3 linked regions of the Drosophila melanogaster genome follow. Changing the gene in region 2 together with the main gene of any one other region gives a genetic interaction. Each region holds a gene or a part of one and is shown on either strand. Other genes may lie near its edges.

The links. A genetic interaction does not mean that the proteins touch.
Region 1: of Arpc1 (region 2) and alpha-Cat, changing one suppresses a phenotype caused by changing the other (phenotypic suppression), as found in Drosophila melanogaster (one study listed by BioGRID).
Region 3: of Arpc1 (region 2) and DAAM, changing one enhances a phenotype caused by changing the other (phenotypic enhancement), as found in Drosophila melanogaster (one study listed by BioGRID).

The regions. Positions count from the first base shown.
Region 1 is NT_037436.4:23,334,350-23,340,392, reverse strand, and holds the start of alpha-Cat (alpha catenin), read left to right. Parts: upstream 1-2,292; 5' UTR 2,293-2,346; coding exon 2,347-2,518; intron 2,519-5,652; coding exon 5,653-6,029; intron 6,030-6,043. Other genes in the region: ND-MLRQ (NADH dehydrogenase (ubiquinone) MLRQ subunit), read right to left, coding at 713-859, 917-958. UniProt on the Drosophila melanogaster protein: Associates with the cytoplasmic domain of a variety of cadherins. The association of catenins to cadherins produces a complex which is linked to the actin filament network, and which seems to be of primary importance for cadherins cell-adhesion properties.
Region 2 is NT_033779.5:13,827,441-13,832,767, reverse strand, and holds Arpc1 (Actin-related protein 2/3 complex, subunit 1), read left to right. Parts: upstream 1-3,026; 5' UTR 3,027-3,058; exon of another isoform or gene 3,059-3,124; 5' UTR 3,125-3,349; coding exon 3,350-3,422; intron 3,423-3,491; coding exon 3,492-4,552; 3' UTR 4,553-4,827; downstream 4,828-5,327. Other genes in the region: GatC (Glutamyl-tRNA amidotransferase, subunit C), read left to right, coding at 1-143; PolG2 (DNA polymerase gamma subunit 2), read left to right, coding at 140-830, 885-1,279; Orc5 (origin recognition complex subunit 5), read right to left, coding at 1,296-1,580, 1,634-2,731; PolG1 (DNA polymerase gamma subunit 1), read left to right, coding at 5,077-5,327.
Region 3 is NC_004354.4:1,304,722-1,310,619, reverse strand, and holds the start of DAAM (dishevelled associated activator of morphogenesis), read left to right. Parts: upstream 1-2,147; 5' UTR 2,148-2,496; coding exon 2,497-2,544; intron 2,545-5,774; exon of another isoform or gene 5,775-5,854; intron 5,855-5,898.

The DNA.
Region 1 (6,043 bases), on a different chromosome or scaffold from region 2:
GGTGTTTACGGTTATTGGGAATTGTTTTGCGAGACAAATAATAAAAGTGAAAAAAAGTATCACTGTACAAAATAGTCGACTTCCTCGACTATCAGATACCCGTTATTCAGCTAGTTAAAATGCCATAGCGAAATTTCATGATTTGTCTGGGATATCGATAGATATTGGTGAATAAAATTTTTGGGAAATCAATCAAAATTTAAAAAACTAATAAAAATGTGAAAAAATGTGGCAGTTTTTGAAGATTTGTGGGCGTGGCAACATAGGCCAACAAACTTGCGCTGCGGGTATTTCTCTAGAATCTGTATGCTTAATCTCAACCTTCTAGATTGTATAGTTCCTGAGATCTCGACATTCATACAGACGGACGGACAGCGTCAGATCGACTCGGATATTGATCCTGATCGAGAATATATAGGCTTCATATGGTGAAAACTCTGCCTTCTACCTATTACATACTTTTCAATGAATCTAGTATAACATCTTACTCTACGAGTAACGGGTATAACTACAACTACAACATAGTATATATTCGTGAAATATATATGTGTAATGGTTATGGCATGTCGGTTAAATCGCCAAAAAAGTAAAAAATTGCAAAAATACATATATCTATAAGCAAATTTGGTTATTAACAAAACCACGGTCGAGGGCTTTTCTTGGCCCATTAAAATATGAAAATAGAATATGAATATTAAGGAGCAAATCTAACCTTGTATTGCTTTTCTTTGTACTCTTGCCATGGTTCGGGATTTGATGTGCGATTCCAAGTGACATCGGGATTACGAGTAGCAAGTCGAGCCATATAGTAGACGGCTCCAATAGCTCCCGCTCCAACGCACACATAAAGTGGAATTAACTGAACAAATTTTTGTTATGCAATCAACAGATAACTTAATATAATCATAAAACTTACAGCTGGATTTTTTTTAAGACTTTGCAGACCAAGACCTTGCATTTTGTCTACGTTATAATTAAAATGTATTTAATATGTAAGAAAGAAACACATTTATAAAAAATTACCTAACTTTACTCAATCCAATAAAACAGAATGGAACTATATATTAGATATGGACATATTTCGATGCCAACAGCGATGTCATCGATGTTTTCCAAACATCGGCAACTCGATGTTGACTCAAACATAAAAATATATGTATTCATAACAGGCAGATGTCATATTATTTTATATGTGACATGCCAGTATTAAGCGATGCTGGTATAGAATGGGAACTCAAAAATCATGCACATAAATATTTTTTTTTACATCTAAGGAATATATTATTTTATATACGTAATTTTTATGCATGCTTGTCGCACAGGTTTTATGTTAGGCTGTCATAATAATTTCAAGCCGCCGGGAACGATATAATCTTCTGAAGTAGTCATGCATTTTTGTTACATTTTGTTTATATGTCGAAAGGATTTTTTTTCAATAATAACAAGAAAAAATGCTATGTAGACTTTCCCGACTATTAAATATCCGTTACTCAGCTAGAGGCAATATGATCGCGAAATATCATAATTTTTCTGGGACACGGATAGAAATTGGTGAATGCAATGAGAAAATATTTAAAATTGTTCAAAAATGTGGGCGTGGTCGTTTTTTGGTCGGTTTGTATCGTTAGAGTGGGCGTGGCAAAAAGTTTTATGACAAATCAATAGAAATTTACAAAACTAATAAATATATGAAAATATATATCAACACAATTTTCAAAAGTGTGGGCGTGGCAGCGTTAGGCGTTAGGTTAATATCATATGGTTAATCTAAGCTTTATAGCTTATATTGTTCCTGAGATCTCGACGTTCATACGGACGGACAGACGGACACGACCAGATCGTGTCGACTACTGATCCCGATCAATTGTTCCAATGCTTCCATCAGCCTATTAGGAACTTTTAAACGATTCTGGTATACCCTATTACTCTACAAGTAACCGGTATAATAATAAACATAGAAAACAACAATCCTGATATGTGTGGAATATGTTAATTCATTAAATGAAATATTTTTGTTGGTAAAAATTAAAAATATTATTAAACTTTTCTCAATCGTCTTCAATACTTGAATATCACATATTTTTCACGAGAGTTCAATCATCAAAAATCAATTTTAATTATTTTCTTAAAGTCATTACTAAAGAATGACTCACAGGACTCAAAACTACAAAACTATTTAACTTATTCATTATATATTGGTTACGTTACGTAGGTCATGTGGCTCAGTGGGACTATGATATATTTAAAGCCCGCATTCTTTACAGCACTGCAAAGTTACAATCCTGGTACTATTAATAATCAGTGGACTACATATTATCGAAAAAGGCGTCGTCGGTTAAAGAATTTATGTTAAAACCTGATAAAATGGGCACGTTAACCGATTTCGGACAGATAGCTTTGAAATGGGATCCCAAAAATTTGGAAATTCGCACAATGTCAGTTGAAAAAACACTTGAACCCCTTGTATTACAAGTAACTACTCTTGTAAATACCAAGGGCCCAAGCAAAAAGAAAAAAGGTAAAATGTTTATAGCTTATAGTGCCTAGAAAACCTAAATATTAGAACTTTCAATTTTAAAGAAACTTTTTGCGAGTCGTGAATAACTGTGCGTATACTCATTTTAATTTTATTAATTATAAGTATTGTGTACATACGAGAAATGATAGAAAATGTTCTAAAACGGCTGTGTATACTATACATACATATTGTGACATCTTAAATTTTGTAGGATAGAAAGCATTTGAATTCATGTAACAAGCTTAAAACTGAAAAGGAATGTGAAAGCATCTTTTACCTCTTTAAACGCAAAATTGCGAAAATATAAAAAAATAGCCTATTAGTGATTTACATATATTTTGATTGTGTTTCATTTTGTTATATGTATATCTTTCCAATTTCTATCGATATGCAATAAAAATGTTCAAATTTATAGTTCGCTTGGCCACTAGCTGAGTAACAGGTATCTGATAGTCAAGGAAATTTACTATGGGGTTCGCTGTAATATATATTTGTTACTCGTAAAGTAAAATGGGGTACTAGATTCGTTGAAAACTAAGTATGAGGTAGAAGAAAGCGGTTCCAAAAAAAAAATATATATTCTAGATCAGGATCAATAGCCGAGTTGATCTGGCCATGTCCGACTTTCTGTCCGTATGACAAAGCGTTTTCATATGAATTCATATTTTCATTAGTCTTTTAAATTTCTATCGATTTACCTTTTTTTTTTATTAGAGTTTATCATTTATTATTAGTCATACGTCAATAGGAATCGTTCAGTTCCTTCTGAACTTAACCTAATGTGTAGCTTAAGAGATATGGATTCCGTTCCTTAATTAAAGTGTATACAAATGTACCGTGGAGAGAATCGATTTATCAAAAAACGTTTTGCAACGCCCACTCTAACGCCCAAAAATTGGTTTTCACACAAAAATGTTTTGGTATTTTTCATACTATTTTATTGATCTTGTAAATCTATTGATATGCCAAAATACCTATTGTCAGGCCCACAAACCGCCCAAACTTTTTGAAAAATATATTTCTTGTTTAAATATAATTATTTCTTTTTCAATTTTTACCGATTTTCCAAAAAAATTGAAATCTTTCACACTTCTAGTTGAGTAACGGGGTATCTGATAGTCGGGGACTCGGTTATAGCATCCATTCCAGTTTTTGTTTTAAGTCATGTCAATTCTTTTTGCAAAACCATTTTGGTCAGGAGAACTATATACAGAACTATCACAGGATGTAAACAGCTGTCAGGCCCTTAAAATACAATAAATTGTTACTTCATATTATTTAATTACTGTTTTTATACCCGTTACTCGTAGAGTAAAAGGCAGAAGGAAGCGTTCCCGACCATTAAAAGTAAATATTTTTTGGGCTGGCTCCAGCTCTCTTGAATTTTTGTTCAAGAGCCAGATTTCGGAGAGCTCTTCAGCCAGCAACTTCATTTTACGCATACAGTGACAGCCGAAAACTTTTTGTGTGTACACGAATACTCATGCATTGTAAATTTGACAAAATATGCCCTACACTTCAGAAGTTTTTGGAATTTAAATCTATATTATTTTTGGTCAATTGGCATTATTTTAAAAATAATTTTTTCCTATTCGTATTATTTTTATGAAATATATTTTTTTAAATGTATTAAACTGTATGTGTTAAACTACAAAAGTAATAATAACTATTCCATATCGCAACTTTTTTTCATTTATAAGTTTAAATATTGATGAACCTAATATTAATGCTGTAAAAAAAAACTTCTCCCAGTCCCCTGTTGAAAACTCCAAACATGTTAATTCGTTTCTTAGATCAAAATTGATTTCGGCCCGAAAATCGTCTTCTAGCACAAGTACGCACACATATACACTTTCACGTTTAAACGTTACTCACACAAGCAACCAAAGTCTATTATTTTACGCTCTCAATATTATTCGAGAGAAAAGAGCACAATCTTGGCCGTCACCAAACAAGTAGCTGCTTAGTGAAAAACCAATGTATGGCCCTTACGCATCTTGTTATTCTAGTGTCTTTGATCTGACCCTGTCCGCCCTTCTGTCTGTCCGTTCGTATGAACCTCGAGTTCTCAGGAACTATAAAAGGTTGAGATTAAGACATTTACGCAGCTCAAGTTTGTTGACCCATGTTGGCACACCTATTCTACCGCCCAGAGCTGCTACGCCTGACCTTTGGAAAAATGTGAAGTTTTTTCATATTTTTATTAGTCGTGGAAATTTCTATAGACTTGCCAAAACTGTATGGTAAAAGAGTATACCAGATTCGTTAAATTCCGACTATATAAAGTATATATATTCTTGATCAGGATCAATAGCCGAGTCGATCTAGCCATGTCCGTATGAACGTCGACACATTAGCTAGAAGGTAAAGCCGCCCTAAAACCGCCCAAAACTGACACGCCTACATTTTTGAACCATTTTTCTATGTGCCTAAAATTTTTTGCCACGCCCACTCTTACGCCCTAATTTTTTATAATTTTTTTAGTCTTGTAAATTTTTATCGATTGACCAAACACTTTTTTTCGCAAGTGCGAGAGTACAAGATAGATAGAGGGCGAGAGAGAGTAGCTTAGACAACGAAAGATAATCGCCTATCTGAGATGCCGTAGAGCTTAATGTTGTGTCTCCAAAGTTGGCATGTTTACAAATAAGAAATTTAGGCATTGCTGGCTGATGCAAGACCCGAAAATCGATTTTATTAATGTGATCATTTGATCATTACTTAATGCCGTTTTGTTTTCTTATAAAAATCTATTTTCGCTAGCCCCATTGCAAACGATTTTTTTTGACGAAGCGTAAACAATTTCCTTGGCCTTGGAATCAAATAAGTTTAAATCAATTATAGTATTGAAAATGTGTGTTGAATATTGCATTCTGCAAAAAAACAGATGCCGTTCGAATTAATAGTATTTAAGGCTCGTAGACTCGGCGTTTTCCATCTTAAACTTTAAGCTGTTTGGCAGCTTCATTTAGGTAAGTTGACTCATTTGTAAATTTCTTTGGTGATCGAGAGGAAATAATCAACTTTTACATATATATATATTTAAGTGGTTTAAAAATATCAAAAAACGTATAAACATTGTCGAATAATCTTCTCAATTTTAATAGTTTCTAATTTGTATTTTGTATTTGCAGGAAAATCAAAGCGGGCCAGCGCATTAGTTGCAGCTGTTGAAAAAGCTACAGAAAATTTTATTCAAAAAGGTGAACAGATCGCTTACGAGAACCCAGACATTACACAAGAAATGTTAACAGCTGTGGATGAAGTAAAAAAAACTGGAGATGCTATGAGCATTGCAGCCAGAGAATTTTCTGAAGATCCGTGCAGTTCCCTGAAGAGAGGAAATATGGTGCGCGCAGCTAGGAATCTGTTGTCAGCTGTAACCCGCTTGCTGATTTTAGCTGATATGGTTGATGTACATTTGCTCTTAAAATCACTCCACATTGTCGAAGATGATCTAAACAAACTCAAAAACGCTTCGAGTCAGGACGAGCTTATGGATAATATGAGGGTATGTGTCGGAAT
Region 2 (5,327 bases):
CGGTCCTGGAGCATCAGCAGCTCCAGTTACGCAACGACCAGGTGACCGAAGGCGATTGCCGGGCGGAGGTGCTCCGGAACGCCAAGGTGACGGACGAGGACTACTTCGTTTCGCCGCCGGGCAACATTCCGCTGGAGCAATGAGTCGCATACAACGATGCTTTAAGTCCCTGGCTTCCGCTGGCTTCTTTCGCACCGTGGAAGACAATAAACTGGAGCTACTGAGTCATGGAAGGGAATACGCCAAACTGTTGCAACAGCATTGGACACGACTACGTCCCTTGGCTGCGCACCTGGGCGCCACGAAAGAACCCATAAATCCAGTCAACATCCAGCGTTTTTCCTTTCCACAAAGCCAGCAATTCCGTAACAATTTCCAAAAACTCGTCAAAGATCATCCTCGAAAGGCCAAATGTCCCACTCTTCTGAAACATCAAAGCACTTGTTCTGGTCCCACTAGCAATTCCCTATTTGGGATAAAGGGTCCTACGCTACATTTAACCACGGACTTCCTAGTGGAACCACATCGCGCACTGGAGCACTTCTACAACATGCAGCGTGAGAGCAAGATCTGGTGGATGCGTCTTTCCTCGAATCCCAGTCGCTACCGCATCGTACCTTGCGATTTGGCTGAGGATCTCAATCCCAACGACTATCAAGCCATCGATATCCGCACGAGCTACGGTGATGCAGGAGAAGTGACCGTGGAGCAACTGAGCCTGGTGAGAATAGTGGACGACAAAGACTTCCGGCTGCCCGATGCGCGAACGGGTGAAATTGTGCAACCGACTGTCATAAGGTCTGTGATAGAGCTGGAAACTACCACCTGCGGTAAGTGGTCATCATAACTATCTTTGAAAATCTTTCTATATTATTATCCTTTAGCTCTGCTTCTGGATGGCTGTGATCATGGCCGGGACTCGCAATCCCTGCTCTTACACCGCGTTCTGGCGCCATATCAATGTGGAATTGCCTGTGTGGAAAGTGATTCCGAGCTATCTGCTGACTTGTCTGATCTTTGTCAGCATCTGAAACATGTTCTCAACCACGCCGGTCTTAGACTTTCTGAAGGGGATGGAATTCGTACGACGAAGAACGCTTCTCATTTAGCAGAGCACTTGCTGGAAACGGATATGCTCGGCATACCTTATACACTTGTTATAAACGAGCAAACGCTAAGAAACGGACTGATGCAGTTGCGCAGCCGGGACACAAGGCTGGCGGAGACCATACACATAAGCGATGTACCGGACTATTTATTAAATATATTTAAAAACTAAAAAAAACAACCAGGGGCTACATAAAGTCGCAGAGATATTGGCGGACATTAAAGCCCACCACCTTGCCAATCTGCAGGACAAACTCCAAGCCAATGGTGCACTGCAGCCTAGCGGAACCTTCCATTATGTTTTGTTCGCCGGAGACGAAGCTTAGTAGATTGAGGTGCACCAAAGTTGAGATCTGGGAGAGAAGGTTGCAGGTCAGACCGACTTTCTCCTCTAGAATGGCGTAGAAAATGGCCAGCAAACGATCGATGCTAAAGGATTTGGGTCCCAAAGTGGTGGACATTTTCTCCGTGGTCTAAAAGGTATTAAAATAAGCAAATGGAGTCATCGAAAAATTGAATAACCCACCTTGGCTCTGGCGTTGACCGTCTGCATCCGCTTTCGCTGTTTTCCATGGTGCTTGACGAACAATCGCTTGTCCTGCTTGGCGGCATTGTGGCTGGCTAAGAAGGCAGCGATCAACAGAAATTTGGCATAGTAGGGCAGCTCCAGCGACTGCGCCAGCTTGCGAACGCTCTGATCTTCTATGGCGGTGAAATCTTCAACTTCTTCCGCGGGTTTTTCAATTCGCATATAAATCTGGGTTAAGGCGGAACGCAGTGGTCCAGCTATATGCCGCCAAAGCCGGGAGATGTCCGTGGCATCCACAGTGCCGTCGAGTACAGGCTCCAAGTATGTGGACAGACACTTCCTGGCGGTCAGCTGGAGCTCTGGAACATCGCGACAGGCTTTGTAAAAGACGCTCAGAAAGAGATTCAGATAGTTGTTGTAGAAGTCTTCAGTTACGGCTTCCTGGCAAATCTCCAGACGCTTCTTATCCTGGGCGAACTGTTCCAGCAGTTGATTTCGCACCTGCTGAAAGTCAGATCCCAGGATGCGCTGTGTCTCCGCCTTGTTGTACTGCGCCAAGTGCAGGCAGACGATTTCACTAAGTCCGGTCTTGTTGTAGAACTTCTCAAAGGGCAGCTGGGAGAGCAGAATAACGCACAGATTCAGGTTGGTCAGCTCCTGCAGTCGGAGAAGAACGGGCAACACATTGGCATCCATGTCGCGCAGCCTTTCCGCGTTATCCACGGCTATGAGAAATCCCTGATCCTCCACGCGTGTAGCGGCCTGCCGACGCAGCTGCTCCACAAAGTCCAGCATGTTGTCGACCTTCAGCGCATCACCTTGATCGGGTGCCAGCGAGTCTAACAGGATCTCCAGCATTATCTTGGTGGTGTAGCATTCGATGGCATTTAAATGCGCTGTGCGGACATTTTGCCGTTTTCCACATTCTTTGAGGAAAGCTCTGGTCAGAGCTGTTTTGCCGGTTCCACTGTGTCCGAATAGGTAAATTGCCGAGGGATATGTCTCACTCGAATCTCCTATCAGCTCGCCCAGCGTTTCAATGGCCGCCTCCCGACAGGGAAACAGCGGCTCCAAGGAGGAGCAGATGGCTTCCATAGCTGTCGTCTGCTTTTAAGTTTCCTCAGCTACCCACAGGCGAAGTGGTGTTATTTAAACGGGCTTTCAAAAGGGAAAATACTTCCTCGGTTTATAAAATAACAAAAATAAATTACGAGCCAGCCAGTTATTAAAAATTTGTTTACAAGAAATGGTTTCTGTTTAGTGTGACCATTGAAATGGCGCCAAATTATTCCCTCTGGTATATACCGAACGTGCGTAACAGCACTGGTACCTTAGCATTTTTCAAACAATCGAAAAATATCGATATAACGAAATAACGATAGTATTGAGGGCCATCGATTTTTGTTCCAGCTCTAATTTCGGGTGATTAATTTTGTGCATTACTTTTCCAAAGAGTTTTTTCCACAACGCTCTACTCTTCCGGCCCAGGCAAAGCCAGAATCCATCCCAGCAACGCCAGCTTAATCGTGTTGACGGCCCAGAGTCCGCGATTAAAACGAGAGCGAAGCTAAAATCCAGCGGAAACAACGCCCAATTGCTACACAGCGATATCCAAAATCCGAAAATCCGGCGAACCGAACCGAAGAAACTACGCGTGTGGTTGGATTTGGACGAGCGAACACTGCACATTCCGAGCGCATTTAGCCACCCACGATGGCCGAGACATACACCTTTGGCACCTCGCTGGCCTCCATCACCTGCCACGCATGGAACAAGGATCGAACCCGTAAGTGCGACCCAAATTACTCATCCGGCACAGTGTGACTCACCACCACCCACTCCCAAAAATTCGCAGAGATTGCCTTATCGCCCAACAACCATGAGATCCACATATACAGCCGGGAGGGCAGCGACTGGAAGCTGGCGGACGTGCTCAACCAGCACGATCTGCGCGTCATGGGCATCGACTGGGCCAAGAACACCAATCGGATTGTGAGCTGTGCCGCCGACCGTAATGCCTATGTGTGGACGCAGGGCGACGATGGCAAGTGGAAGCCGGCGTTGGTGCTGCTGCGCATCAATCGGGCGGCAACCTGCGTCAAGTGGTCGCCGGCGGAGAACAAGTTCGCTGTGGGTTCGGGCGCCCGACTCATATCCGTGTGCTATTTCGAGTCGGAGAACGACTGGTGGGTGTCGAAGCACATCAAGAAGCCGATCCGCTCTACGGTCACTTCGCTGGACTGGCATCCGAACAACGTTCTGCTGCTGGCCGGCTCCACGGACTACAAGGTGCGCGTTTTCTCGGCCTTCATCAAGGACATCGAGGAGCCACCGACGCCGACGCCGTGGGGCAATCGCAAGCCCCTTGGCCAGCTAATGGCCGAGTTCCGCAACTCGCAGACCTCGGGTGGCGGCTGGATTAACAGCGTGAGCTTCTCCAGCGACGGTAACAAGGTCTGCTGGGTGGGCCACGACAGCTGCGTGAGCATCGCGGACGCTACCAATGGCAATACGGTCATTCGATGCCGCACCGGCTATCTGCCCTTCCTGTCATGCGAATGGGTCTCGCCCACGTCCGTCGTGGTGGCCGGCTATAGCTGTGTGCCACTGCTCTACAGTCTGACTGCCGATGGAAAGCTGGTGCTGAGCGGCAAGCTCGATAAGTCGCAGAAGAAGGAGTCGAGCGGCATTACCGCCATGAGAATCTTTCAGTCGATGGACCGCAACATGCGCACGGAGAACACGGACACGGTGGTCGATTCCATACATCAGAACGCCATCACCAGCGTGCGACTGTATGCCGGCGACAAGGCGAGCGCCACCAAGGTGTCCACCTCGGGCGTCGACGGGCAGCTGGTCATTTGGAATGTGGAGCAGGGCGGCATCAATGGCGGCATGCGCAACCTGCAGATCTAGTGCGGCCCGGAACGGACCAGCGTTACGTGTTATTGTCTGTTAGCGAGTGTGTTGGCCTGGCCAGGAGCGAAGTATTTGCCAAAATGTTTTCCAAAATCGCTTTTCCCATTGTTCTGTACCGTGCGAAAGCCTTTTTACATAAATTAACCGAAGAGATTGTTCTTTCCCCCCCCCCCCCCCCACCAACTTCCATAATGGTTCCGAAAGTGTGTGTGTGTTTTAAAGTGTTTCACCTTTATAGCAAACTGAATAAAATGTTTTTTATTCGTAAAATCAAATGTTAAGTGTTTGTTTTTTAATAATTAATCGTTTCAAGCAGCAAGAAATTTGATTTGTTGGAATTTTTTGAAAATGTTTTATATTTATTTATTATTAATTTAACGGAAATAAATTTGAATTAAATCAATGTGACCGCCGCGCAAGCGCACAAAAATACCTAGGCTGGCGGCAATCTTACGGAGGAGTGTGTGGTCGCAGGTTGGACTTCAGTTGCCTTAAAGGATGTTTCCTTTATTAAAACGAGGATGCAGTTCCACCTGATCAGAAAGTACGCCAGCAAAGTTAGCCGGGAGCACTACGCCAGCAGTAGCGTGAAGATCTTTCGGCGGGTCAAGCCTCCGCAAAAGGTAAACAAACCAAAGAAGCCGGAGAATGTGGAGAATGGCCCAACGGAATATGCGGAAAATCTGGTCAAGGTGCAGATGATCTCGCGGAATTTGCACGCCCAACTGTTCCCACAAGCGCCGCGAAGCATTTCGGAGCAGCAGGTGGCCTC
Region 3 (5,898 bases), on a different chromosome or scaffold from region 2:
TCAGGTGCCAACAGGCGGATAAATTGTTTGTGTATTTCTCCATTTCGCTGTGATTTCTGCCCGGCAAGAATATTAAAAGGCCGTACTTTCATGCTTTCTAGTGAAATTGAAAACTCATTTAAACAGCCGAAAATAAACAAATTGAAGACGACGCGGCCGTGGGCAAAATTTCACTTTCAACCAATGTTTTTAAACACCTTCTCTGTACTTTAGGATTTCGTCAGCTCAAGCTCAAAAATGATATGGATATGATTTTACAAGATTTCGGGCGGAGGCAGACTTGATGAAGTAGGAGCATCTGCGATTAGCTGGAAATGGAAAAGGGGCTGGGCAGAGGTTGTGCCTGGAGATAGGGGCGAACCAAATCAGATTAGCCAGGGAAATGAAGTGGGTTCTTTGAGTGATTACGAACTGCCTCATGCTCACGTTTTCTTGGCCCATCGACAAAAAGCTGCTAATGGGAAATTATGTCTGGCTGCATCACATAATGGCCAAGTAATTGCGATCGAAGCGTGGTGGCTTTCGGATGAGTTGGCACAACACCCATAAAAAGCCCTTCGAGTAGCAAATGGGAGATGGGAAATGGGAGAGTCGATTCGATTTGGCTCGGGCTGTGAGGATTGCATTAATCAATAGGGAGACTACCACTCCGACTACCTATGACTATGACGGATTCCTACTAATTTGCTTCTCGCCGTTCTCCTCTTTTCCACTTGCAGCCAAAGACTAATCCCAACAACGAAGCCAATTAGCAACAACAGGTGAGTAAGAAGTCATTGAAGACGGTTCGCTGCCGAGGAGGCAGTTGGTAAATGTTCGATAGGTCTAGAAAATCGGAAAATGAGTGCGCTTTACAGCCCATAAATATAAGTATGATACATCATTGAATAGTCGCTCTTCTATTTTCAACGATCAAAATTTAGACGTGGTAGAAGATGGTTACACCATCAAATTGGTTTTAAAATAATAATAGCATTTGCCTCTTCAACTGTTAAGGGTATCAAAAAGCTAAAAAAAAAAGGCGCGAATATCCAGCCAAAACAGCTAAAGAACGGATGGCCACCTCATGCCGTCGACTCCAAATTGAATGACCGTCAGCATTCGGTATTTGGCCAATGATCGTCGGTATAAGACAACAACATTGGCTCTAATAAGGACCGTTACATAAAAAAAAGAGATGATGAGAATCGTTGCTGAAAATCGGGAAGTGGAGATAGAGGGGCAGAGGCGGTGTTTTTACACGGCGGTATTGCCATGATATTTTATTTTTTGCATGACACTTGCAAAATCGAAACAAAAGAGAGGGAATAACAAACTTTACTTGTGACGACCTTAAATTGTTTTTGACTTTGACTTCGACTCTGGCGGCTTTGAGCCCACAATTGCCAAAGTTACCGGTGAACATGGCTATGTGCATGTTGCCGAACAACTTATCGAGCGGACTAACAATTGTCTGTTGTGTGCGGCTGATTTGCCAGAGCTAATTAAGTTGTTCGATAGACAGTTCGGCTGTCCAATTGTTTCTTGGCTTGGTTTCATGCTTCCAACTCCTTTACATTGGTCGGCTAGTTGTCTCCTTTCGAAGTTAAACTATCACTGGTTGGATTGCATTTGGGAATGAATCGCAGGTGGTATTCCAGTATCGTGGACCTTAGGCTCCGCTTGGTCTTCTAAATGCTCGTAGCAGTAAGCTCTTCGTTTCACACCCATAATTACCTCGATATCTCTTCAAGTGTCTCAGCCCTTGTGATTTCATAAATACCCCAGGAATGCACCCCGCACGCACATGGAAATGCAGCACCTTCCACCACCCACTATCCACCAAGGCGGCCCCAATCCGCGAGCCAAGGCGAGCGGTGTGCGGGCGGGAGTGCGACTGAGACTGGGACACAGTGGGGTCTGCGGCATTAGGCACAGAATAGGCTCAGAGCCCGCTTTCTGCCGTCGACCGGTTTCGCGTTCGCGTTGGAGCCCGCTCCGGCTCTCGGGCTCTCTGCTGGCACCTGTCGCTGCCACTCTGTCTTGGCCAACTTCTTCGGCTTGCCGCGGCGACGTGCTCGTGCTCGTCGTGTTGCTTTTGGCCAAGTCGCCGCTGCCGTGGGCACGTCTTGAGCGGCGAGCGTTCAATGCGCTGCCAGCCGTCGATAAGAACGCACGCGAGCGGGTCAAGTCATCCGGCAGACAGAGACCGGCTATGGAAAGCAAAACCTAAGGCTATAGGCTATATAGAAGTCGAACTGATTAAATCGGAAATTGGAAATACGCGCGCGCGTGTGCTTTTCGCAAAGCGAACGAACACTGTTTGAATACACTTTGTATGTCAATTTAAAATTTTTTTTTTCTTCGGATTAATTTTTTTTTGCATCAAGTGAATTGGCAATGAGCAGTGCGTGATGTGCGAATTGGTGCTGCATCCCAGTCCGCGGCAGAAGAGACTTGCAACGCTATAGTTATAGTTTTTGAATTCGAATTCCAGTGCTACAGAGCAGTATCATTATGTCGAGCATGAATCAAATGAGTGTCCTCATGGATAAGATCAACACGGTGAGTGCCAAGGGATTCTCTGGGCTTTTGGGGGCGTTAGTGGGTCTCTGGGTCGATCCACTTAAACCTGCCAAAGAGTGGACCTTTACACGAATTCGGTTCGGTTGTTTCGTTAAATTGAATCGCTTTTTGTGCAACCCAGTAAAATGGTGTGAAAACTATTTGCTACACTGTCGCCTCGAATACTTTGTACATTTAATACATCTATTGTTATATTCATAAACTATTTTGTTTGGTTAGGAAGTCTGTCTAGCTTCTGTGCTTTTACTTCGCAACCCCTTTTGCAATTTCGAAGAAAAGTTATTGGCTGAAGGGTAAGTCCCTCTTAACTGCTTTGGTTTCGTCACGCAGTTCCCTGCTGCACCTCTAAGGTTTTCCACCTGCTGTCTGTGAGCCTCGTATCGAGGGGGGGGGGCGAAGTAGATGAGGGGCAGGGAAAAGGGGGAATAGGCAGCGAGAGTCCGCTCTCACTTGACCAACAATTTAACGTCATTTGCATTCAAAAGTGTCGCCTAGACGCTCATAAATAAAATGAAATTGAAATTTTTGCGCCTCACTTTTCCCAGTCCCCCTTCTCCGATCGCCGATCCCCGATCCCCGATGCTCGGATGCCCGATGTCCGATGCCCGGGTACTCGACGTATTTTGATTGTGTGGAAATGAAAGTGAAATGCGCTCCAGCGAAATTAAGTGCCCATTGGCCGCCATCCCGCAATCCACCAATTCCCCCGCTCACTTCGCCCCTGATTTAAGTGCGGCTGAATGAGCTTCAATTGAATGAGCTGACGAAATGCCGCGCGCCGCATAACAAACATAAAACAAAAATCAAACGAAAAACAAACAAGTGGCCGACGTCCAATTCGGCAAATTATATGGCGGGATGGGATCGGTATTGGAGGTACCGAAAGTACTCGAGGTGCACTGCAGCCAGGCGTCTGCTGTTTGTGCAACAATAATTAATTAGTAATAATTTTCGGTTGCCTTCTTGTGTGCGAGTGTAGAAATGCCGATGGGGGGTAAGAGTTGGGCAATCTGAACGGTCGAGCCTCTGCTGGATCCTCTCAAGACCCATCCCATGCTATCCCATTCTCGCACTCTCGACCAGCACTTATTGGTTGCGATGAATGAAGCAGCTCCTGGCTTGGATTCGGCATGAAATTAGAAGACTGCAACTGCAATAGCTTTATAGCAACCCAGCTGACTGAAGTCCATCGAAATGTATGTATGGCTTTGGAAAGGAAAAAGAACAAATACTGCACAGCATAGCAATGGCATTTATCGCATATTTTACACCAACTCAACTGACACAACACCTCTATGCTGGTTGGGAAATGTCATAATACCACTTGTCTGTCCTACGCTCTACTTGTGTGGGTTTTCAATGACTTGTAGCTCCACTTCGGGCTGCGCTGAGTTTACTTCCTGGCGACACACTGACGCCTAGAGGGAGTTGGGCAACGGGAAGGGGCAGGGAATGGGGGCTATCATAATTCGCGATTGGAGGGATTATCCCCAACGAATGACCAATAATTAACGGCAAGTTCCGTTGTGACGTCAACTACCGCAATCTGCGCTAGAATTCCATTGAGCTTTCTCCACGAAATGCGCAGGTTGCATAATCTGCATCTGCATCAGCATCTGCATCTCGGCCAACTGTTTGCTTCTGCATCTGCAACTGCAACTGCCGCCAAACCCGCTCGCGAACTGGTTCGTCTGGCCTGTGGCCGCCTTATTTATGACGCAAGCCGCTGGCGGATTCTAGGCTCTAGGCTAGCTAGGCCAGACTGACATTGGCCTAGCCCACGGAGTAGTTCGAGGCGATACGGGGGCATTCAGCAGACGGACTCGATTCTCACGAGCACTGGAGCTGGAATGTGGGCCAAGTCATTGGATGGATAGTTAAATTATCTCAACCGGTGGCTTCACACTTGCTCACCTCCAATTACCTGCTATTTATATGTGGCACTTTCAGCTTGAGGCTGCAAGGCCTGCTAGTATTTCTTGGGCTATGCCAAAGTCTGCTACAAAAAAAAAAATATATCTATTGCATTATAGTGTATTTATAGTGTATGAAATAATAATATGGCATAGTCCGTAATCCGAACCCTAGACAAATCCAGACAGACCGCCAAGGTCTCCGGCCACCCGTCTCCTCGATTGTGGTGACCGCATCACAGAAAGTTGATTCCCGATAACGGATTGATATCACTACCTAGACACGGGAAGCTCTGACCCATATAGCCATATAACCCTATAGCAATTGGGCATAGGCCTGGCCGCACACGAACACTTTATACATTTTCGGAGCCCATATACGGAAGCCGTGCAATGCTAATGAATCGCTGCGAAAGCAACCGAAACCAGGCACCACCAGCACATGACCAAAACTAGACTGGGAAAAGTGTGTAATAATTTCCTGTCTCAGCCTGATTTGCATGTGAAGTCCCCACTCCAGCTCGATTTAATCCACTTGGACTTGGATTCGGATTCGGAGACCGCTGCTCTCCAATCCAATCCAATCCAATCCAATGCAATTCACTCTACTCCACTCCAGCTGGCCGTCTTGTTTGACTTACTTCATCATTCCTAATGGCAATAGATACCAAAGTATCTGCATGTAATGCGATCCATTTGCGGGCCACCTACGCTCCGAAACTTTCCAGAGTTTGTCAGAGATTTGAATTGAAATTTATGCGGACATGAATTAGCCGCCGCTGACCCGACTAATCAACTGGAAAAGCATAATTCCTTTGTTTTCGCCTTTTTTTTTCCGAGTGAAAGTGCCCATCTGACAGCTGATAACGCATTTGTTCGTGGATCGGATGTGGATGGGATGTCCGGCACATAAGCCAAGCAATTAGCAATTAAAGGTAACCATATCGGGACATATTAGGTTCTCGTTTATATAAAATGAGCTGAAAGCGATCGATGAACATTCTTTTTAAATTATATGTGAACAAGAAATCTAAACGATAAATACACCTTAAACGAGGAGTTCCATATATATAGTACAATACCATGTATCTCAGTATTTGCTCTGGGTAATTATCACATCAGCTGTGATAAGATTCCCCGCCACCTTGCTCTTCCACTCTTTCGCTGAGTATCTCCGCATCTTGGATGGCGTATCATTGTCAGTGTCAAAGCAAGTAAACATGCAAAGCAAGGCAAATATAGCTATATTTTGGACCGAGTTGGATAAGATACGGATCTCGGCCAAAAACTTTGCCCAGTTGAGAACCCAGTTCTGGGGCAGGAAGATGCAAACAGCCGTGCAAGTTGAAGTCAAGAAGCCGCCGCGAAAAAACAAGGTGAGGTTCAGTTAGTTTGGAATCGCGATTGGTTTCGTTCGGCA